2 linked regions of the Caenorhabditis elegans genome follow. The protein of the gene in region 1 purifies or fractionates together with the protein of each later gene. This does not show direct contact. Each region holds a gene or a part of one and is shown in the gene's direction. Other genes may lie near its edges. The genes, in order: ife-4 and ZK402.5.

What was found.
Region 2: the proteins of ife-4 (region 1) and ZK402.5 fractionate together in Caenorhabditis elegans (co-fractionation; one large-scale study listed by BioGRID). This does not show direct contact.

The regions. Positions count from the first base shown.
Region 1 is NC_003284.9:1,098,372-1,110,557, forward strand, and holds ife-4 (Eukaryotic translation initiation factor 4E-4), read left to right. Parts: upstream 1-5,840; 5' UTR 5,841-5,842; coding exon 5,843-5,905; intron 5,906-6,195; coding exon 6,196-6,376; intron 6,377-6,858; coding exon 6,859-7,096; intron 7,097-7,514; coding exon 7,515-7,671; 3' UTR 7,672-7,875; downstream 7,876-12,186. Other genes in the region: rme-6 (Receptor-mediated endocytosis protein 6), read left to right, coding at 272-380, 433-749, 798-953, 1,283-1,451, 1,500-1,934, 2,247-2,538, 2,585-2,812, 3,101-3,235 and 5 more; C05D9.4 (uncharacterized protein), read left to right, coding at 9,696-9,750, 9,794-9,905, 10,186-10,252, 10,431-10,598, 11,590-11,739. UniProt on the Caenorhabditis elegans protein: Recognizes and binds the 7-methylguanosine-containing mRNA cap during an early step in the initiation of protein synthesis and facilitates ribosome binding by inducing the unwinding of the mRNAs secondary structures.
Region 2 is NC_003284.9:1,393,996-1,406,679, reverse strand, and holds ZK402.5 (SPK domain-containing protein), read left to right. Parts: upstream 1-5,320; 5' UTR 5,321-5,437; intron 5,438-6,049; 5' UTR 6,050-6,141; coding exon 6,142-6,149; intron 6,150-6,196; coding exon 6,197-6,478; intron 6,479-6,522; coding exon 6,523-6,636; intron 6,637-6,684; coding exon 6,685-6,948; intron 6,949-6,999; coding exon 7,000-7,516; intron 7,517-7,565; coding exon 7,566-7,856; downstream 7,857-12,684. Other genes in the region: ZK402.1 (Protein FAR1-RELATED SEQUENCE), read right to left, coding at 1,683-1,955, 2,008-2,203, 2,255-2,409; ZK402.2 (SPK domain-containing protein), read right to left, coding at 2,563-2,680, 2,725-2,936; H39E20.1 (Transposase), read left to right, coding at 10,129-10,201, 10,251-10,327.

The DNA.
Region 1 (12,186 bases):
CCAAAACTAGGATGTGGAAAAGCTTATACAGTAACCACAGAATTCGGTTCAAAAATTGCACTGACCAAAATAGTGTTACTAGCTGTTAAAACAATTGTTAGTGTAGTATATGTCATCCACAAAATACTTAAAGTTTCATTTCAAGCTCTGTAGGCTTGAAAAGGCTTGACAATTTGTTTAAACAATTTCAATTTTAAAAACCTGGTTTTGGTTTAGCTGCTGGAAAAAAACTCACTTTCAAGAGAGCTTTTCATACGTCTATATTTTTCAGTCCACGGCTCGGTTCTTACGTGATAACAAGCAGAATGAGGATCGCCTACCCGAATACAGAGCTCTCGTTGTTTCCAAGCTAGTCGATTTTGTTGACACTTTTCTGGAAAGTGAGTTGTTTTCCGCCAAACAGAACAAATATAAAATTTTCAATGCATTTAGATATCTCGAAAGCTCTGCCAATGCTTCCACCAAATTTGAATTGGATCATTCGAGACATATTCTGCTCGCTGTACGAGGTGGTCGATGATGTGTCAGCTATTGAGCTGAGTCATGCTTGCAAGGATATGATTGTTTCAAACCTCATTTGCCCGGCAATCATCAGTCCGCAAAAGTTTGGAGTTGTGGATAATGATGTCAGAGTTGGGACAATTGTAAACCATAACTTGGTTCAAATCGCGATGATTATCCAAATGATTTCATTGAGGGAGTTTGAATCGCCGCCGGAAGAGTACAAAGAGTTTTTGAGCCAGTGTCGGGTGAGTTGTCTTTGGAATTGATACTGCTCTCAACTAGAAGCTTTTCAGAACACACATCTCATATCAGAAATGATGGATGCTTTACTTGTGGAGAAACTTGCTCCCGACGTTGAGATCACGTCGCTTATCGCGAACGGGACTGCTGAATCGGATATGGCTACGAAATCGAGTTTTGTTGGAACTGTGGCGGATGTTAACGTTTTGGTGAGTCATCCCTAATATCAAAATTTTATGAAAGTCTAGACAAACGCTCTTATTGTCAAGACCCAAAAGTGTTAGGCTCGAGGGACGTCAGTTTTAGAAATAGGCTAAAAAACAGTGATAGGAAAATCAGTGATGATGTTGGTTTCAGACAAAAAAGCTACTAGACTTAAGTCAAAAGATATCAGGCTATAGACCCAAATCCAAAATCTGTATGGCTATCTTAGTCAGCTAAAGTGTTGTATACCCTCCAAAATTTCACCAGGTGGTAGGATAAGCCTGGAGGTCTTCGAATATAGAAAAAAAGCGAAATTTCTAAATTTCAATTCCAGATTAAAATTATTCGTAATGCACCATCAACTTCTGACGCGAAGCTCTCAAGAATTTTATCAGTATGCGACAAGCTTCCCGCCACAATCAGCTCCACCACTCAAAAGTCACACTTTGACAACCTAGAGGCTTCACCAAAAATATCAACACTTCGTAATATTCATCGAAAAGGTATACACCCAAATGGGAACTTTTTTCATAACTGACACTTTTTTTCAGTTCAACACTCATTCAAACGAACCGGTGACTCTTTCAACGATATCAATGAGCTCGGAGCAAAACAGGGAGAAGCACTAGCTTTTGGAAAAGAGAACTTTGATTTGTTCTACTTAGAGTATAGCCCCAAAAACTACAAAGACGTTGCGGAAGCTGATCGTCTAAAAAAGAAGGCCGAGGAAAGGAGACAGTTGGCTGATTTGGAGAAGCTTCTGGAGCCAACTCCAGCACCGAAGGAGACTCCAGTGGAAAACAATCTTATTGACTTTTCGTCTGGTTCAGCTGAAACTAACAGCGAACATCTCAGTGACTCAACATCAGTGTCCCCCGAGCCTCTCACATCTACAGAAGAACTTCAGATTGGTGATCAAGGAGTTGGTGGCGAGCAACGAGGAAAACTTGCTAAACTGAAAAGTTTGAGCGATAGGATGAAGAAGGGTAAGAAGATTACTATTTTACTAAGTTGAGCTAATTTTTTTGGGAAGTACCAGGCAGAGCGGATTACCTGCGTAGTTAAAGTTCGAGTAGTGAAAGGACGCAGAAATTGAACTGTTGGAGAATTTCGGCATTTAGAAGAAATTACCATTTTCCGGCAATCTGTGATTGCTGAAATTCCACGCACCTCTGAAATACGTGGTTGAAAAACTGATTCTTAACATTTTAAAATGAACTTTAGTCCTCCCACTTTCAATTAGCTTTCAGTTCCATCCAGCGCGAATTCTCAAACATACATATTAGCTAGAGTTTTAGGAATCACACAATCCAACACCCTATCCGACATCCGTGAGCACCTCCGTCGTTCGGGATCATTTGTAAAACCACCTCCGTCAGGCATCCCCACTAGCAGCAGTGAGCAAAACCTACCAGACGTTGCTACAGGTCCACGTGACGATATTCTGGCTAAGTACGCGTCGATATCATCGATTAAAGAGCAAAAACCAGCGCTCGGGAATCTAATTGATGGCACTGCCTCTGCCTCATCGACTCCGAGAAAAGAGCCACTGGAGCCGTATTATTCGTCTGAAAATCTGGTTGGTTGTCGGTAAGTTTTTTAATTCATCTATATTATCCAGATTATGGTGTTTCAGGGCTTTTCAAGACACCCTTCGAAAAATGATCACAGTTCTCGGGAACATTTCCTACTTGCCAAGGATCGGGTATCGCAACGAGACAAAGCAAAATGAGTGGGACAAGAAAGTGCTGCTTGGGAGGTTTTTGGATGGAGTCCTCGTGGAAACTGAGCACAGGAGAGAGTACGGGCTTGCGGCTCAGTTGAGAGAAGTCAAGCGATGCATCGAACTCTTTGAGCACGCTGGGTAAGAGCGGGAATGAAACTATTCGAAAAACATTATTTCAAGCAGTGAAATACGCGATAGAAACAATCTTCATTTTTATAATGGATGACATTTTTCGAAGGTTCATACAGGCTTAAGCTTAGGCTTAGGCTTAGGATTAGGCTCAGGCTTCGGCTAAGACTGAGCCTTAGGCGAAAGCTTTGGCATAGGCTTAGATTTAGGTCAAGGCTTAAGCTTAGACTCTTTTCATACTAGCCAAATTCCATATCCTCAGTATTGATTTGTAGATGAGACCTTTAAAAATTTCAGCGTTGAAATCCTCATGGACCATTTGAAATTGAATGAAGCTGAGCAGGACAAAATCGTAAATGGAATGCGTGAGGAACGTGCTTCACTAATGAGAAAATCGAATGATATCTCTTCGTTGGAGCAAAGAGTTTTGTTGTAAGCATCCTTCCTTTATCTGTAAATTTTCATCGATTTTCATTATTTTAGAAACCGCCGGCTCACCGAGCAAATCCTCGTTGATTTCCTCATGCGCACTTTTCTGGAAACGGGCTTCAACAACAAGCACACAGTTGGCAAAACTCAGGAAGTGACGGCCGTGCTCAAGTTTTACGACGAATTCAAATACCTTCGAGCTCAGGATGAACGTGCCGAGTTTTTGAAGAATCTACTCACATTTTTGAGGGATCGCTTGATGCAAAACGTGGATTGGAATGTAAGGAAGCTAGTATAAAGAAGCTAGTAATTTATAAATGGTTTCAGTTTGCCACGGATACAATGATGTCGCGAGCCATGACAACCATCGAGCGTTATGTGATTTTTGCGGTTTATGATAACGCATTCTACCCGAATAGAGATGCGGATCATCACAGAGACAAGTGAGGATTTTTTGAGACTTGGGAGCTTTCAACAAGTGTAATAGCTAGAAACTGTGATGAAAAATTTGGCTTACTCTTGAAGCCATGCTCCAGAAATTTTGTGCAAAAATTGTGGCTTTTAAGCTTAAAATTGCTATTTAATATTAAGGGAGGGGGGCAGATAGCTCAGTCGGTAGTGGTGGCCGCTAGCAGTCTGGAGGTCACGAGTTCAATTTTGGCCTCACCCCCTAGGTTCACCCAGCCTCTATTGGGAAGTGGAGCAATCCACGACTGGATTAACGGCCACAGCCCCCGGCTAGGACGTGGCTTAAATTACAGCTCAGAGGGATCACCACCAGGCAGTGTACCTGAATCCCAGATCCGCAGTGCATAGCACTTGAAGAACGGATCGTCCTTTAATCCTTTTTTTAATCGAAAACCAAAACTTGAACAATAATTCATGTTATTTTCTCAGGTTGCTCCGTGGAACCATCGCCAAAGTTTCTGACGTAGTCACGCCGGTCAACGACTTTTTGAAAATTCCAGAAGTTTATTTTTTATTATTTGTTTTTTATTGAATTGAAAAAAATTGACTAACATATTGTACACAATAAAAATTGCAGCACCTCCACGGTGAAGCTCCCTGGCCGTCTGCTCAGGCGGAACTCTCAATGCTGGATATTTATGTGACTGCTCAGGACAAGCTCAACTGTGTGGTCCGATGCTGTGACGTCATCAACAACCTGGTGGCGTTGTCTTCGAAAAACGCGGTCGCATCCGCAGATGACCTCACACCGGTTCTAGTTTTTGTGATTATTAAGGTGAGAGAAGCAGTTGAAATTTCGTTTTTGTTTTGGAAAATATTTTAAATTTAATTTAAAATTTAGGCTTCACCGCTGCAGACTATAGTAATAACTAAAAAGCTGTCAGTTATACATATATCTAGTTAAAACATTTATGTAGTTGAACTTCTTTTTTTTAAATTTCGATATTAGCTTGAAGCTTTCAATTTTCATTTCCAGGCGAATCCACGTGCTCTTCTGTCTAACGTGCAATTTGTTGAAACCTTTGCCGGTGACCGCATCGAGTCGGGACGTGATGCTTACTACTGGGTCAACTTCAAGTCGGCTGTTGAATATATCAAGACAATTCTGTGATTGTATATTTTGAACCAAATTATTTTTTTTTGAATATATTTTATGGGAACACTTTCGTTCCGCAGCAAACTCAGTTTTTATTGTTATGTGTATACTTATTTATTACAGCTAATTGCGAAGAATGAATGTTTGTAGATGTTCTTTTGAAACTAATTTTAAAAAATAATATCACAATTTCAGTATTAGCGTAAAAAGCGTTAAAACTTTTTTTCATAGCTCTAGCACACGTGTAATTGTCTAACTTACCCGAGTATCATAATAACATTTCAACAATTCGTAGATTTTTGGAAAATTTTCAGTTGTGGCAAATCGCTAAGTTCTCCAGAAATGAAGCCTTTTTGAAAATTTTTGAGCATCACTGTAGAAAATATTTGTTGTCAAGCTTAGCTTGGTGCTTAAAAATCTGACTTTGTGCTTGCTTTACACCCTGCTCCACTTAAAACAATTTTTTTCTGTTGAAAAATTTTTTATGCAGCATGTGAAGGGTTTGGAAATTTTTCCCGGCTGGCGATATTTCACCTTCAAGCCCGGGAGCTTATCCCACTTTAAAAGATCAAACTTTAAATTTATGCTCTAAATTCAAGAGAAAATATGTTTCACTTCACTTTGGCCAAGAAACATATTTACTAATGCATAAATAACGTTTCCCCTTTTCCGTGGTGCCTCTCTCTCTCTCTCTCTCTTGTTGTATGCGCAGATCAATAACGTTCGCCCCGTTGCCCCAAAACCTCTGCGTCTCCCCAACCGTCAATACTGTTTCACTTCAAGAGACTCAGAGGTCGTTTGTATGTGCTGCTATCCTCAACAGCCCTCCCCTCATCTTTTCACAACCACCATCGTTCCTCGTTTTATGTATTTGTATCAAAGCGATCGAGATTTTGTGGACTCCGATAATCGGAATATTTATTTGATTATTTATTGATTTAATTGCTCAATTACATCTTTTTAAATATGATTTTTCAAGTGCAAAGGTGTTTTAAAACGCTTTTAGAATTCCAGTTGTTTGACACGTTAAAGTTTAATTTTCAGAGATGGAAGCTGAAACGTCAACTCAGGAAGTTGTGAAGCAGGTCAAAAATTTGCCAATTTTGATGGTAAGATTTCACTTTGCAAAAGTAAAAGTTGGTGAACAAGTAATTTTTGAAATTCAAAATAAATTAACTTCTGAATGGAAAACATTTCAAAAAACCACGCGGTTTTCCAACCAATTATATCAAATGTTTGATGCTCCATGCTCGTGAAAACATGAAGTTTAAGTTTCCAACAGCTTTTTAAAATTTTGTTCCAGTACACTTCACACTTCAAATCCACTTATCCTATCTCCAAACTCACCTTGATGAATTCTAAGTGGAGCTTGCCCTCTAAAAAATTCCATATTTTTCAGGAAGATGCTCCGGTCGGCTCTGACGATCACCAACTTCAATATTCATACACATTTTCGTATTTCATGAGGCCAACTGGCAAATTCGATCCGGAAGATTATGCTAGTTATGTGCAGCCTGTTGGAATAATGAAGTCTGTCGAGCAATTTTGGAGTATTATGGTGCATTTCAAACGGCCAACTGGTAAGGGTTTTGATAGTGGAAAGTATTTAAAAATAAATCAAAAACTATGCTTTAAAAATTAAATTTGAAAATATAAAAAAAACTCCAGTAACCTTATAAGAGTTCAGGGGTATTATAAATAGTGAAACTTAAAAGTACCTAAAGAATAATTTGACCTAGTAGTGCAAGACTGATAAAGTGTTTGAAACGTAGTTGAACACTTTCAACTGTTCCTTTTTAAGTTTTTCACAAATCTTTATGAATATCGAGTTTTTAAACTTTTTTTTAAGCGACGAATAAATTTTTTGATACTGCTTGAATGGTTTCAAAATCTGAAGTTAAAAAAAAATCTGAAGCTAAGCTAAATTAAAAAAAAAATTGCCTAAAGTATATTATTAACCAATGTCTAGATTTGCTGATAATTGACACAGAATTTCCAGAAATTTTTTATTTTCAAAAAGATTTCCCTTCCATTCCATTCCATAACTTTTACTTAATTCCAGAAATGTGCGACAAAGCTGACATTCACTTCTTCAAAACTGGCGTCAAACCAGTGTGGGAAGATCCGGCGAACTGCAAAGGTGGAAAATGGATTATCCGACTGAAGAAAGGATTGTCGACAAGAATTTGGGAGAATCTGCTCATGGCAATCATTGGAGAGCAGTTTTTGGTTGGAGATGAGCTCTGTGGAGCTGTGTGCTCAATTCGCAATCAGGAAGATATTATATCATTATGGAATAGGTTAGTGCTGGAATTTAAAAATTAAAACTTGGAGTATTTGGGAACTGGAAAACGTGAAAAAAACAACAATGCCAAATTGTGCAAGACCGACAAAAAACAACTGAAAACATTTCACACCATAAATCTTAAAAAGTCTTAGTGGAATTTGAAAATGTCAAAAAAATCTACTAGTGCTTCTGCCAGATGTGAAAATAGTGTAATTGCAAATTTTGTTAGCATATCTTTTGAATGAACGCGCCTGTTGCTTCAAGAGGTCACCAAATCTTGTTAGAGCTCCACTTTGTCAGATCAAATTTTGCGTAATTTTACACTTATTATTTTCTGCAATTTTACTTGGAAAGTAGAACAGTTGTGGAAAATTGAATCAACAAATTTGCCATACACCCTGATGACATTCCCAACTACATCAATTTTCCAGAAACGCAGACGACACCCCAGTAACCAACAGAATCCGAGAAACTCTTCGATCGGTGCTCCAACTGCCTCAGAACACGGTACTAGAATACAAACGACACGATGACTGTCTCAGAGATCAGAGCTCATATCGTCATACTACTAAAAATATCTGCAAATGATCATGCTGCTTTACTATTATTTTTTTCGATTGGGAATCATTTTGGGTCCGGAGAAAAAGAAAATGAGAGGAATCTCGTTATTGGTTTTAATATATTCTGTATAATGACTAGTTTTATGATTTCAAGTTTTTTTTTGAATATGTGGTTTAGTCTGGCGGCTCTTGGAGCTGATGGACACTTTTAAATAAATTTATTCTATTGAAAATTAATTGAAGAATTCTGCATTAACCAAACAAAATAATTTATTAGATTTTAAAGAATCATCATTAAATGTTAAAGGAGTTGGTGCATCACGTTACTTTCACAACCCTACATTAAAAAAAAAGTTATTAAAATACAGTCGTTTGGTAATCATCATGAAAAATGGACTCACGAGATGTCGACCGCTTTAATTCGTTCCATAAAATTTAAATAATATAGACATACAAAAACATATAGACCGAGCCATGAGCTATGTTTTGTTAGTTGAAAGTGTTTTGATAGCATCTCTAGTTTTGGAGTTATTCTTATTTGAAAGTGGATATCTTCTTGGCCAGCACTGTACTACGTGATGACCTAATTTTCAACTATTCAGCTACAAAATCAGATAGCTCAAAGTCGAAAATATATACCCCTCTTTTTTCAAAATTGCAAGCAAATTCACTAACGAAATATAAAAGTTTATTGGAATTAGAAGTGTCAACTGTAAATGCCACGTGGCAACCTCAGATTGAATCGGATGTTTCAAAATTCGAAAGTCCATAACCAAAAGTCGACGCACCTGAGTTATCCGAATTGTAAGTACATTACAAACTGAAATATATAGTTTTGTCTAAATCTTACGGAAACTGCCTCCTGCTGACCTCAATTTCAAAACTACAACTCCAGCAATTAGGTTAAAATGTAGTTCACAAAATGTACAACATTTTGTTACTTGACAATTTTTCTGTATCTCTAAAAAGAAGTGAGATACACTATCCAGAAAGTGACCATCTTTTCCCCCTCGAGCCCCCAACAGCTTCTGGATTTATATATTTTATTTAAAACTCAAAAACCGCAGGGCGTCGTGGCGGGCGTCTGTAACCTAGCCGGGGGCTGTATTCAGGGGGAGTTGACATCAAACCCTGTCTTTCTTTCATGATGTCATTACTAAACAAACTAAATTTTCTTAAGTGGAGCTTAACTCCCAAAAAAAAAATTTTTTTTTAATTTTGCGCGCGCGTGCACGTGGCATGGCCTCTTCGACCTTCAAAAATTTAATGCCCTATATCTCAGCTTAAATTAGCGATAGAAACCTGAAAATTTATCTATAAAGGTTTTCGACTCTGGGCTTTCAGAATTTTAAATGACATTTTAAAAATTAGGTTACCACGTGGCAATTTTTTTAAAAATTTCTTTGCCTTTTTTGCAAGTGCGCATTTAGGCCATAAGCGGCTACTAGCTAGAAAAAGCGATAAATTTCTGAAAATTTATGTGACTAGGTTTTAGACTGTGACCTTTCAGAATTTGAACATTTAAAATTGAAGTCATCGCGTGAAAATGTTGTTTAACTCGTATACATAGCTTTGTATTTCCCTGCTGAAAGTATGTAGTCATCTTAAAAATCAGACATATAGGGTTTCAACAATGAGTTCTCAGATTCTGATGTAAGCAACTTTAGTTTATACCTGTCCAATTTCTCAATCAAATAAAAATGTAAAAAAGAATCACGTGGAACCTCTCAAGCTGAAGTATTCCGCCTGAACCAACCATTTTTTTATGTACAACTCTGTCTCCAAACCTCTCAAAACCCTTCAAACTTTTAGCTCCTTGATTTCTTTGTAAATCTATTCCACCTCGATAATCCATCTTTGTAACCTCTCTCAATCCTCATTTAGACGTCAAGGATACCCCCTACCATTAGCCGCCCTCCGAGGAAAGGAACAAGTATAATTGTACAAGCCTAATGTCACCCCATTTGATGGACATGTGTGTACTTGTTCCATTAGCCACCTACCTTTTTTCATACTTTTCCATTTCAACTATTCAATCTATGTAGACTACCTATGGATAAATTTCATTCTCTGCTAGTAGCAATATTTCTGTTGAGAGCTTTGGAAGGTAAATAATATGAAAGTTATTCAAAATCAATTAATCCGTTCAGAAACGTATTCAACGTATCATGGAAATATCTATGGAATCCAGAAGTTGAAGGGCAACAAAACTGGAAAGTCGGTTTATCAACATTTTTGGTTTAAAAGGCATCATGTGCATTTGTGAGTTCACGTATTAATTTTAATTTTTACATTTAAAGTTAGGTGCTTTGACTGTAAGATACAAGTTGTCAGAATTTGAAAAATGTGGTGTGAATAGAAGTTGTCACGTGGCATTGGCAGCTGACATTTTAGATTATTAAAAGAAACTTAAAAATAGAAATAAAACATTATTGTCATTAATTTTGAAAAAAAATGTGAACAAACCCTTTAATTTTTATCTCAACAAGTAATCAATTTCTTTGCCTAAACTGCATTTTTGTGTGAAAATATTATGTTGCAGAAGACAACGGTACCCAAAAACGCTAATGTTTGCAAGGATGTCGATGAGCCAATGCTCCAAGAAAAAAGTAATATTTATAAAAAAAATTAATCATGACAGGTACAGACAGTCAGAAAACGCAAGTCCAGATAGGTTTTTTTTGAAATTTGTTTCAAGATTTGAACTATAAACTTTCAAATTTATATGTTCCCCCAATCTTAAACAACTTTCAACAGATTAATTTAAAAAAAAACCCCCCTTTTCAGAACATCAAAATCATACAAGTAAAACGAATTGGTGGTGATTACCCATATGGTCCAAAACTGTCATCAATCTCTGAAAACCAGATATGCCGCCCCACAACAAGCCGCTCCTCCTCACCTCATTTTTCTTCCATCGCTTTTTCAACTTCCCGACAACTCAACTTTCCCAAGGTCCGTTTGTTGGTGTGTTGCATTTCTTTTTATCAATCGAGGGCTTTCCGTGCACTATATGTTGTAATACTTTGTTGAAGACCCCCTGTGTACGTTGGGTACACCAGTTGGGGAATGAGATAGACAGTGATTGATTACTTGATGCTTTGTGGTTTGTCGGGCGGGGATTGAGTCAGTAGATCCAAAGAGGAGAAAACAAATATTGTTGCTCGGGTACATGAAATTAGCAACATAGTTTCATGGTGTATCGACATGAATTGAATTTTTTTTTTAAACTTGCTAACTGAAATTTTCTAAAAATGCTTTTGCCTTTAGTTTTGTAATTGAAAAAAAACTGATATGTATTGTTAAAACTCGCAAGGGTCACCGTTGAGCAAATTTATAAGCTGGTGATTTTTCTGTCTAGAAATGCAATAAATCTTTTATTTTGAAAATAAAAATAAATAGAAAATATTATGGTTTTTTTAAGGCGAGACCTATGTACCCAAATTTGTATGTACCTAAATTTGATTTTTTTTTTCAAACCAAAATATAAACTGCAATTAAATGAAATTGATCAGTGTAAATTTTATTAATTAGTACATATAGTACAGTATAGTGTATAATATAATATGCTATAAGATAGTATAGTATAAGTTAAATGTGCTTTAAGTTTCAAATCAAATAGATTTCAAAATTGTATTCACCTAAAGTCTAACCTCTGTTTTGAAATATTTCAAAAGTGAAAATTTTTCCACTGTGAAATTCAGTGGCAATGATTCTTTAGTAATGCAAATTTGTTAGAAACAGATATACAGTTTTTTTTTATGAAAAAAATATTTACTCGTTTTCAGGTCTTTTTGGAATTGCTATGCTGTATAGAAACACTCCTAAATTTTCAAGTAGAAATTGTAAAAGAAATTTCAAATTAACTGTTCCACGTTGCAACTAGAGCTCTCTAGAAAAAATCCTTTACACTATAAATTGGAAATAACTCTAAAATACTTTTCAGAAATCTTCGAAATCTCTGAACCAAGTTCATATCAACCTGGCAAAGCGAAAACAGTGGAAACGAAACAAGGCGTGGTGTACTCATTGTGAGTCATACTGGAAGATGAAGATTAATTCGAAACAGTTGAAGTCTAGATACCCGTGCTGTTGAATTATTTTGAAATATTTTTTTATTTTAAATAAATGCCTATTTTCCGCGTGAAATTATAATTTTTACTGCAAAACGACAACCTGTGCTCATTTCTTGGATTTATACTGAAAATTTGAGTTTCAGGTTGTGCTTGAACTTTGTAGATTTTATCAACATTTAAACATCCAAACTTCTGGAAAGCCCAGTTGGTCAGTTTTATTGGCGTTTTAATTACTGTAAATTGATACTTGATAGATGCGCAGACAATTCAACTATAAAAATATTTCGAAGACATTTCTCACAAGTTTCTTACAAGTACACCAATTTGTAAATGTAGTTGTCTTCAGGAAACCCCATCAAATCCAGGATACACATATAATTTGCTCTCCGAGCACTGACCTTTTCTCCCGATAACTATACAACTTGCTCCTCCCCCTTGCAAACTCTCAGAAGTTGCCCGCCGCGGTG
Region 2 (12,684 bases), 300 kb from region 1:
GCAACTCTGGAAATTAGGTTTATATTTTTTTCTGATGATGTTTTTTTTTCAAAATTTCTTACTTTATGAAGGCTGTGTCGATCTGTTTCTTTCCACGCCACCCTGCAACCTTTCCTGTCACGCCTGTCCGTATCACCGATTTCACTTTGGTTATTCGGTTCGTGACCTCTGTCCTCATTAAAAAGATTATCGGTGCACGTGCTGTGATGAGTATGTATTCCTCTGCATTGATTGGTGTGAACTCCGTGAGGCGGCGTCTATACTTGATGTGGATTTTTTCAATAGCTTTGTCCAAGACCTTGACAATCCGTAATTTTTTTGGTAAAAAAAAAAGTTTAAAATAATTAAACTACCTAACCATATTTCTCAGGTGCCGGCAGCGCCCATTTGTAGCACACAATATCACTTTTTTTACATTCCCAAATTCGACGAACTTCTTGACAATGTGTTTATCGATATCCTCTAGTCTCGCGCCGAATACTTCCAAATTCCTTTCAAGGAGATACTTTTTTCCTCTCCATTTCCATGGGATCCGAACCGGCGCCAGTATGACAAAAATTTGAAGAATGTCGGATTCATTATTTGTCGCATATTTGTTTTCGAATACTGATTTGTTGACGATCGAAGCGTGGAACACCAGTTTTTTGTTCTTCTTGCACATGATCGCTATTCGAATTATGTGGTGCAAATCCTTCGAAGATTGGTTCAGGCTTCGGCTGTCCCTTCATCGCTCCGATGTATTGCACCTCATCGTCGTCACTGTCCAATTGAAGAGATTTTAAAAGAAAGCTCACACTTGTGATAAGAATGAACTTTATTATATGAAAAGTAAGAATACAGAAAAAATGGTATGAAATTGTGGATGGGAAAATGGGAAAGTATTGGCTGGGGACTCAAAGACCCAGCGGTTTGTAAACGAGTGACCTGTCCCTCTCAGGACAAGTTTTTTATGCTGTCTCCTCTCTGAAGAGACACGAGGGAGAAAGAGGAATTTGGGGCGGGGCGGCGGTATGGTATGGGAGAGAAAAGGGGGAAAGGTTGAGGCTCTTAGCCTATATTAAAAAACATTACAATAAAATCAATTATAATCAATTATTGCATTCCTTGGCTTTTGCTTAGAGGTATGAATCATCAAAGAGGTTTCATACACTCCCCGCGCCGCACGATGAGTAGCCTCGGATTTTGTTTTGATCTCCTTGTTGAGCTTGAGTAGACTGCCTGGCTTGAGTAGACAGCTTGGCTTGAGTAGATGATAAGATTTGATGAGTGTGTGATGATGATGATCTTGACAGCTTGCATTACTTTTGATCTTCGCTTCTTTGAATGGGATCCTCGATACAGATGGAACAATGATGATTGATCCTTTTACAGTACGTACATGGCTTTGGAGTACATTGATGTTATCATACCCACAGGGTTCTTATGAGGTCTTTATATATTTTACTAACATGGTGTAGCGGTTATGTTACTTATGAGTTTATTATTGGAAGTTAAAGAATATAAAGAATAATGAGGATTAAGATGTAAAAGATAGAATAAAGATAGAACAGAATGAGAGCTCACACCATCACCACTCAGGAACCATCATCACCACCACACTACCTTGCTCTTCTCTTCTTTCTTCTTCTTGGTGTCATGGGCGTGTCCAGAGGGCGTAACCAGATGACATGTTACTAGGGTTTCTAGGTGCAACAATGTCTTCCTTCTCGTTTTGCCAGGCACAAGTGGCAACGGTTGTCTTTGTCGAGGATTTTCTTTCTTTCGAAAGTTCCTTTCGTGTGCCCGCATCGATTGGAATGATGATGATAATGGCAGTACACACATCGCGGTGTCTTCTCCTCCTCATCCGTCGTGAAGTCCCTCATGGGAACTTTCTTATCGTTTTTGAACACTGAGTTCTTCGGTTTCCTTCGAGGAATACTCGGTCCTTTGTCGACCTTTCGTGGGATGTTCCCCTGAAATTCTTTGGGATCGCTTTTCAAGGGGAGCTTGCAAACTCTTGCATACAGATTTCACATAAATAGTTGGCTGATTGTTCTCTTCCATCATCACTTCTTTATATTCTTGCGAATGATCGATGAGCAAATTATAGGTTGAATCTCTATTGAGGAGTTCTTCAAAATCGAAATCAACTGGCTCAGGCTTCGGATATCCGTCCACAGTTTCAATAATCTCCAGATCATCGTCGTCGTCACTCGAGCTCCTGAAAATAATCAAATAAAATACTGCGTAATATGAAATTGACAGGATATACATTTCAGTTCTCGCTCTTTTCGGAGATCTAGGAAGAGAAGTCGCCGAATCTACGCCATCTTCGTCGCTCTCGGCTTGGTTCGTCGTCTGACTTGCATTCATGACCATGTGCACGTGTCGACCAGCCTTTCGGTGATATGCAGATGTTCTTTTCATTCTTGCCGAATGACTGTGGTCCGCCTCCAACTTCAGCTTTCCATCACGTTATGCATACTCGCAAATTCGTTTGCCATCATTGAGCACGACAATTCCATCCGTTTGAACTTTGTAAATCACTATTCGTTAACTCAAAAACCTTTTTAAAATTTTTTACTGTGTCAGAAAGTCGTCCGAAACTTTTCCAGCAAGCCCAAGCATCACTCGGAGACGGCTTTCAATACTGTAATTGTCCAGTTGATCCATGTTTGGCGCAAGCTTTTTATGGAATCTAAATCTAAATTTATTAAAGAGAACCAGGTATAATATTCTCACTTTCGATAATAGGCTCCATCCGAACATCTGGCATTTTCTTTTTTACCGAACTCCATGAAAACTTTTGTTGCCACCAGTGGCTCATTGGCTTCTTTCGTCTTTTCAACAAGAAAAGTCATCAATCTTACGTCATCGGCGGTAGTATGTGGAGCTAAATTTCCCACCCCCAGCCAGGGAGCTAAATTTCGCACCTGCCACCAAACCGCGTTCATGCACCGATTTTTTTCAAATCTATATCGTTTTCTTTGTTTTTGCCGATAAGTTTGATCAGGTTTCCCACAAAAACCTCCTCACTCTTACTATTCAATCTCTGTAGATAGTTTTCTGCTTCCGTGGAATTTTTTTACTTAAAGTCAGTAATCATATTGCAGTGTTTCTGTTCTGTGCACCAAAGATTTCAATTCCACTTGACGGAGTTCTTCGTCATTTCAATGATGTGGATGAACTGGTGGCGAGATTGAGGAGATGGCGCGACGGAATTCGTCGCTACATAGTAGTATGTGGAGCTAAATTTCCCACCCCCAGCCAGGGTGCTAAATTTCGCACCTGCCACCCACACTGCAGGGAAAGAAGGGGGAGAGGTGAGTTCAGTTACGGTGATGGCCGAAGGCCAGGGAGCTAAATTTCGCACCTACCCCACCCATGAGAGAAAAGGGGGAAGGCTGGAGTGATGCCGGGGAGCTAAATTTCAAGCCTAGTCAGGGAGCTAAATTTCCCGCCTGCCACCCATGAGAGAGATGGTGGAAGGGTGAGATGTCGGTGGTTTTCAATTTTATATGTATTCTCAAAAGTTATCAGTGCATTCGGCGCGGAATTTTCAGCTTCAAGATTGAAGAATAAAGTTAAGGAGATGTATCAAATTTAAATGTTTGAAGAATTATTCAGTTTTTTGTCGAAACTTTTTTTATTTTCAAAGATTTTCACAAATGATAAAAGATTCCATTTTCCATCCAAATTGTTTATTAAACAAATAAAACGAAAACAAAGCTTTTATTCAGAAAAAAATGGAAATTGTAATTTATAACTTGAATGGCGAGGAGACCAGACACGGTGGCACTTGAATGGTGACTTGAATGGCAAGGAGACCAGAAGCATTTATTCTGTCCTGTAAACGGTAGGGTAAGGTAAAAAAAGACTAAGAAAAAAAACTCACCATACTCTAATGAGTCCTTCAATCTCATCCAGGGCCTCGAGATTGAGAATTATTTTGCGTAATTCTCTGTTCTCCTGACGAAGAAAACGATATAGATTTGAAAAAAATCGGTGCATGAACGCGGTTTGAGTGGCAGGTGCGAAATTTAGCTCCCTGGCTGGGGGTGGGAAATTTAGCTCCACATACTACTGAAAGTCGTCCGAAACTTCTCCAGCAAGCCCAAGCATCACTCGGACACGGCTTTCAATACTGTAATTGTCCAGTTGATCCATGTTTGGCGCAAGCTTTTTATGGAATCTAAATCTAAATTTATTAAAGAGAACCAGGTATAATATTCTCACTTTCGATAATAGGCTCCATCCGAACATCTGGCATTTTCTTTTTTACCGAACTCCATGAAAACTTTTGTTGCCACCAGTGGCTCATTGGCTTCTTTCGTCTTTTCAACAAGAAACGTCATCAATCTTACGTCATCGGCGGAGAGCATGATCTTCGTTGACCTCTTTCGTGCTGCCTTAGAAGATTTACTGTGGATTCTTTCCAACGTGAGTTTTCCGTCGCGTGACTTATAATTGCAGATTCGCATTTTCTTGTCAATCTTAACAGTGCCAGTCGATTTGATCCTGCAACAAACTAAATTCATAAATCTGAAGGTAACATCTCTCCTCACAATGTCATGAACTTGTCCGACACTTTTGCCGACAAGGCAAACGTCACTTGAATGCGTGACACGACACTGTATTCGTTTTTTTCGTTTTATGTTCCGACCCCTACAATACTTTAATACGAATCCTTAAGCATCGTAATTTATTTTCGTTTTTTTTTTTTTGGTTTTTCAAAAATTTCAATTTTTGTTTTTTGGTCCAAACTTTTTTTGGTCCCAGTCCTGTGGCCAACTCTACCTCGGGACAACATAATAGGGGCAACGTTTTTCAATCTCTAAAATAATTTTTGTATAGTTTTATTTGCGCGCATTTGAAAAATCTCATGGGTACGCAAATGAAAAACGCGATTTCAAGATCAAATATATAATCAGGGATTTTTTTAATTTGTTCACATAGATGTTCGGAATCAGGGGAAAATTTGGAGTTATTTAAAAATATTTCCTAGATTTCGGTACCCCACCTTTAATACCTACAGTTGTGACGTAATTTTTCAACACTTTTTAATTTTCCGACACTATTTGAATAACCCCATTCAAAGTTGTATTATTCAAGTCACATGTATTCCGAGAACTTCCTAAATTACAATATATTCGAAATATTATTCATATTGGTAAATATTGATGGATGGATTCCTTTAGTCGACAACATATTGTCACCCCACCATAAAACCCTCAAACATGTTGTCACCGTCTAGATAGGTACGTAGAAAAGAATGACTCACTGTGTTCATATAACCTTGGCGTTAGCAGCTGCACAGCAACATTCTACATTTCCAATCATTCTTTGTTTTACTTGGGTTACTGGTGGTGACCCTCTTCTATTCTTCTAGTTTTCTATATGAACCTTTTCTAATGTTATTCCTATTTTTACTTTAGTAATATTAATTGGTAGAAAAGTAAGTTTTTTTTTGAATTTGTTTCAACAGGTAAGTGGGAATTTTATTTCAAAATATGCAATTTGTTGCTAAATTTTGAGAAATTTATTAAATTGGAAAACTGATAACACTCTTGGTTATCACTTTATTTGAATTTTCGGGCTTTTCTTCTCAAATTTTTTTAATTTTTAAAAGTAGGTGTTTGTCATTGGTGAAAATTATTTAAAACCGCTGAGATAGTGCTATACTCTTTAAATTCTATTATGAAACATTAAAATTTTTCAAATATTGCTTATTAACTTTGATATAAGGTGGATTGATTATTTTAAGTTTAAAATACTGTGTAGGAATACTCAAAGAGTTTAAGAAAAGCATTCAAAAATGCTGTGGAGTAGCGCCAGTGGGAAAAGTGCTAAAACTATTAGAAAACTATTAATATGATGCCAAAATGACCAAATATCACAACAAAACTTTTTAAAATTTTTTTGAAATTTTTTATTTACTGTCAAAAAATGACGATTGACAACTCATTTTTTGCCACTCATAATTCTGGAAGTCGACCAAAAATTTTTTTAAAACTTAAACTTTTTATATTGTAATTTTGTTTCAATTATTCGTATTAAAGTATTGTAGGGGTCGGAACATAAAACGAAAAAAACGAATACAGTGTCGTGTCACGCATTCAAGTGACGTTTGCCTTGTCGGCAAAAGTGTCGGACAAGTTCATGACATTGTGAGGAGAGATGTTACCTTCAGATTTATGAATTTAGTTTGTTGCAGGATCAAATCGACTGGCACTGTTAAGATTGACAAGAAAATGCGAATCTGCAATTATAAGTCACGCGACGGAAAACTCACGTTGGAAAGAATCCACAGTAAATCTTCTAAGGCAGCACGAAAGAGGTCAACGAAGATCATGCTCTCCGCCGATGACGTAAGATTGATGACGTTTCTTGTTGAAAAGACGAAAGAAGCCAATGAGCCACTGGTGGCAACAAAAGTTTTCATGGAGTTCGGTAAAAAAGAAAATGCCAGATGTTCGGATGGAGCCTATTATCGAAAGTGAGAATATTATACCTGGTTCTCTTTAATAAATTTAGATTTAGATTCCATAAAAAGCTTGCGCCAAACATGGATCAACTGGACAATTACAGTATTGAAAGCCGTCTCCGAGTGATGCTTGGGCTTGTTGGAGAAGTTTCGGACGACTTTCTGACACAGTAAAAAATTTTAAAAAGGTTTTTGAGTTAACGAATAGTGATTTACAGAGTTCAAACGGAGGGAATTGTCGTGCTCAATGATGGCAAACGAATTTGCGAGTATGCATCACGTGATGGAAAGCTGAAGTTGGAGGCGGACCACAGTCATTCGGCAAGAATGAAAAGAACATCTGCATATCACCGAAAGGCTGGTCGACACGTGCACATGGTCATGAATGCAAGTCAGACGACGAACCAAGCCGAGAGCGACGAAGATGGCGTAGATTCGGCGACTTCTCTTCCTAGATCTCCGAAAAGAGCGAGAACTGAAATGTATATCCTGTCAATTTCATATTACGCAGTATTTTATTTGATTATTTTCAGGAGCTCGAGTGACGACGACGATGATCTGGAGATTATTGAAACTGTGGACGGATATCCGAAGCCTGAGCCAGTTGATTTCGATTTTGAAGAACTCCTCAATAGAGATTCAACCTATAATTTGCTCATCGATCATTCGCAAGAATATAAAGAAGTGATGATGGAAGAGAACAATCAGCCAACTATTTATGTGAAATCTCTTCAATTGGACAGTGACGACGATGAGGTGCAATACATCGGAGCGATGAAGGGACAGCCGAAGCCTGAACCAATCTTCGAAGGATTTGCACCACATAATTCGAATAGCGATCATGTGCAAGAAGAACAAAAAACTGGTGTTCCACGCTTCGATCGTCAACAAATCAGTCTTTCCGCGAATACTGGAGCCACTTCAGATGAACCCATTAATATGTCTGAATTCCTGAAACAACTGACCCAGTTCATTTGCTTTCTCAAAAGTAGGGAACTCGAGGAGCTCAAGCAACAAATCAAAAAGTCAATTGGAACTAATGTTGATAAGGTTTACAGTTCTCATGGAAAAAAAATTATTTTGAAAATTCGATTTTCAGAAAATCCTATTTGCCGAGCTTCGTGGAGTTTTCGAGGCATTCCTCATCACGATCAATCGAAAAATCAAAGCAACCGCTTGTCCCTGCTATGTAGGTCAAGGATTTCCTTCTCAAGTTCAATGGACCTTTTTTTCCTTTTTTTTTTGGGATGAAAAAATTCGCAAAAAAATTTCCCGTGGTGGAGGGTTGAACTCATCCCCTCCCCCCTCCCACCCCCCATTTTTCAAAAGAATTTTTGACATTTCAAATTCGAATGATTTGTGTGTTCTAAGTTTCCTTAGACTATGTTAGGTCTTTTTTTTTAAAGTTGTATGAAAAATCAATAAAGTTCGTCCAACAAAAAAAAATTCGAAAACATTTTTAATGGTTTTTTTTTTCAATTCTTGCATGTTTGCCCAATTTATGCGAAATCCACCTATCAAAACTCAGATAAAAGCTGACAAGGTGCACCATTGGACAGGCGAGAGCCTGAAAAACGAGTTCCCAAAAAATCGGGAAAATCGATAGGAAAAACGTTATGATTTTTTACCCAGAACGTATTTTTCACCCTAAGAAAGAATTTTTCATTAGAATTTTTAACTGTTTTTTTTCAGTTGTTAAGGACATTCGGGATGGCTGATGTGATTGATGCAGAAATGGAAACGATAGAGGAAATGCTGTGGCCAGAAAGAATAATTTTTGTTATAATGATACTTGTAATTCTTGGGAGTTTATTTACCGTTTCCTAGATTTTTAAAGTGTTCTCTATGAATGAACCTAATTAATTTCTTGTATTTTGCAGTACATATTTCACCAAAATATAATACAAAACTCAACACTACAGATATTTGAATTGCCCGTTAAAAAAACAATAAAAGTAAATATGAATTTTTAATATACCGAGTGAAATTAGCTGAATTTTAATTTTATTATTTTTTAGATTATAATATTCGAACTTTCTCTCTTTCTTTCCAACTAAAAGGAATCATCTGGGTGCGTAGGAAAAAATGGCTTTACTACTATGTTTACATTACACTGACGACAGCAGCTGCACTGCAACATTCTGCATTCACAACCATTTTTTATCTTACTCGGGTCACTGGTGGTGACCCTCTTCTATAAAACCGTTGCCAATCTGAAGTCGCCGCGTCGCTCACTTTTCACCGAGATCGCTGTCTAGACTTATAAGCTTTTGATCCATTTCTTTTGTTTTGACCCACCGCGCGCGCGCGTATTCTCATTTTGAGTGTGCGTCGCCGCCGGCCTCACTCCCTTCCAGCCAGTATAAAAACCGGAGTTTCTTTTATTTTCGAGCTTTTTTTTCTCTTTTTTGTTTTAACGCGCTCTACATTCTGTTTGTGGATGTGGGGTCCGACAGGCATTTGCTCACTGCTTCTTGCATTCTTTCTTTATTCTTATTAGCTAGTTTCCACTTCTTTATCGAATTTTTTTTTGTGTTTCATGGTAGTTTTTTCTTCATTATCAAACCATTACTTGTTATATTGAATGAATTTTTTCAAGTTTACAGAATGCTCAACCAAGACCACAACGCCTCTGCCAAATCTGGTGGTACTCTTCCTGTGCTACCCCTCGCTCTTCAGGAAACTTCCTTGTGTCAAACAACACGAGTCTGGCTGAGACAAAATGGAGGAAGTGGATGAGACCGACTTGTTCCTTCAAAGTGATCAAGCAGGAGATCAAGGAAGAGCAGTAGGAAGCGGATCAACCAAAGAAGCCTAACTTAGATGGACTCAAGCGCCAATGTGGAAAACCTAGAGGAATGCATGGAACTTGACTGTGCTCAAGAAATTGAGGAAGAAAACTGTCGTTGCTTTCCAACAGCACGAGTCTGGCTGAGGAAAAAAAAGAAAGTTGTAGCACTTTGTGGTCCCAACACTCCAAAGGCGATGGAAACTTCTTTGGCGTCAAACAACCATCACGATGCTCAAGCTGAAAATGTGGAATACCTAGAGGAATCTATGGATCTTGACTGTGCTCAATTGAGGAGGAAAACCTAAAAGTTCCAAGGACTACAGTTTCGCCGGGAGAACAACAATCAGTCTCGTTCCTTTTGAGTGATTCGGCAGGAGATCAAGGAAGATCAGGAGGAAGCGGCTCAACCAAAAAATACTAACTTTTTTGAAAACTCTGATAGACTCCAGCGCCAGTTCCTTCGAGCAACACGAGTCGCACTGAGAAAAAATGAAGAGAAATGAAGGAGTTCAGTGGTTCAGCAGGAGAACATGGAAGATCAGGAGGAAGCGGCTCAACGAAAGTAGCCGCAAGCTGATACTAAATGCTGAGCGATTGATTGAGTGGAGAAGTTATCAAACTCTAGGTAAGTACCTTATTTCACTTTCCGGGCTTTTGTCCTCAAACCCCAAAAAAACAATTTTTCACGATTTTCTTAAAAGCTCATGCTTTCAACAATTTGAAAATTGCCAAAACTTTGACTTTAAAAAATTATAAAAAAATCTAGAATTTTTTGAATCAATTTAAGCCAACTAGGACCTCACCGGCGCTACTCTATCTTCAAATCATTCTTTTCAGACTTCTACCGATTCTTCTTCAATGAGCACACCTCATGCCCCAATTTGTTGTGAACTTGTTTCGATACAAATTCTATCGGGATAATGGCCCAGACTCTATCGGAGCAAGTAAGTTTTTTAAAAGTCAAGCTTCATGTTATAATTGTAAAAATTTCAGATATTGGATGGAAAAAGCATAGCGAAAAAAAGAACATAAAAGTGGCGAGATTGGCACCAGGAACGGCAGAATATTAATTTTCCTTTTTTTTTTTAAATAAAATGTACTTTTAATTCAAATTCATGTAGTTTCAAATAAAGAAAATAAGTCTTCCTGCTATCTGAATTCAGTTTTTTTTCAACTTCTCGGTGTCGCAACGTCTGGAACCTAATTTTTATTTATTTATCATTTTTTAACAAGTATTGTAAGACACCACAAAATCTAGTCCAGTCATCATTATTTCCCCCTGCTAAACTCACGGAAAAGTCTCGTGAGAATCATGTTCTCCACTCTCCACGTCATTTTGAACGTTCTCTCATCAAGTGATAAGAAAGATAGCAATCTTTCTCTAAACCCCCGTTGCAGCTGATTTCATGGGATTTTACAATGACCACCAGACTAGTGATTCGTTGCACCCGGAAATATACAGCCAAGTGCAAGAGTTCAGTGATAACTGATCTAGGAGGGAGCAATGAACAATTTTTGTTTTCTTCTATTTTATTTTCCAATGGTGATCCTTGTTTTGTGGATTTTGACCGACTAATAATAGATCTTTAAAAAACAAAACGTGTGGAAAAATATTGATGTTTATCTGGTTTTCGTTTTTTTGGATCACAAGTTTTTGTTTTGATTTTTAAGTTTTATTTAACAACAACCTTTTTTCTAATTTGAAAAATTGTTTCAAGGTTTAAAATGCAACATATTTAATTTTTCGCATACGCTTAATAAAATTTGAATTTAAAAAAAAGAAAAAAAAATTGAACGAAAAAATGTTTTCAAAAAAATTTCGCGATTTCAAAATGAAAAAAAAATTTAGCCAAAAAAGGTTTTTTTAAATACTTTGAAAATGACAAAATAATCACTTTTTCATGAAAATGTGAACTCGGAGTTCCATAGTTAAAGTTGGTTTTTTTTTAATTTTAAAAATTAAAAATAATTTTTTTTTAGTTTTTAGTTTTTCTATTTCTCACTTTCTTAATTAGAAAATTAGAATTCGCGGTTTTTTAATACAGTTTTTCACAGATATTTGACTGTTTCAATTGCTTTTAATTCTGAATTTATGTCGGTAAATTCTTGGCTCTAATTCGGGTTTTTCTGCTAATTTCTAACAATTTTTATAATGTGTAGAGTTAAAAAAAATGCCTTAAAAAAGCTTTCCCTAGAAATTTTAACACCCACAATTTTACTTTGAACAATTTTTTAAAGGTGGAGTGCGCCTGTGGGGATATTGTTAAGAACCACTTCTATGATCCCAAAATGACCGAATATCATTATAAAAGTTTTCAAGCCTTTTTTGAAATTTTTTTATTTACTGTCAAAAAGTGACAATTACTCAGTTTTTGCCACTCATAATTTTTGAAGTCGACCAAAAAAAAAAATTTTTTTTCCTATATTTTAAAACTTTAATTCTGATTCAATTATTTGTATTAAAACATTGTAGGGGTTGGAACATGCGAGATTGCTTTGGATTTCCTCAAAAGCAAATATTTATTTAAAATTTTGGAAATTTGCCAAAACTGAGTGTTTTATTATGATATTTGGTCATTTTGGGTTATTACAAGTGTATTTAAACAAAATTCCTACTAGCGCGACTTCATCTTTAAAAATATATCCAAAAACCACCGATATATATACATACATGAGCTATCAAAAAAAAGACTCCCCAATTACATCACTCTCCGTAACGAACACCCGTGGTGTCTAGTCGTTTAGTGTAAGAAGTTAGATGTCTATCATCATCTGACGACAGAAATTCCGGATTTCTATTGTTCACAGAAAGAGAAAATAGGGGAGGGAGGTGGGACATTTCAGAGACTGATGTAATATCATCATAAGTTGGGGGAGGGGGGGGGGGAGGCGGAAAAACAAACAAACTTTTGAGACTTTATTCTCTATTTTTTTGAGGCTATTGTTTTAAGCGTACCCGACTGATAACGTATCAGGCAAACACATTTTTTTTTTCATTTCTTAAAGTCCAAATTTCGGAACAGTTTTTTTTGTTCAGACTAAAATTTTACCTATAATTTGAAAAAAAAAATTAAAAGTGGAAATTTAATCAAAATAACAATTTCAAACTGTTTTTTATTTCGTTGTTCTCGTGGTGTCAGATTGTCTCATTTTGGCTTGATCTACGTAGATCTCCAAAAAATGCGGGATTTCTCCGATACAGAGTTCTCAACTGATTTTGCATGGTTAAGAACGTGCTGACGTCACATATATTTTCGCAAAAAATTACCGCACATTTCGTAGATCAAACCGTGATGGGACAGCCTGGCACCACGTGTTTTTTCCTTTTTTTGTATTTTTTTTCTTGGCGAAAAAAAAACTTTTTCTTGATTCAGTTTTATCTATATTTTTTTTAATTTTCTCACACCACTGATTCAAAACATTTTTT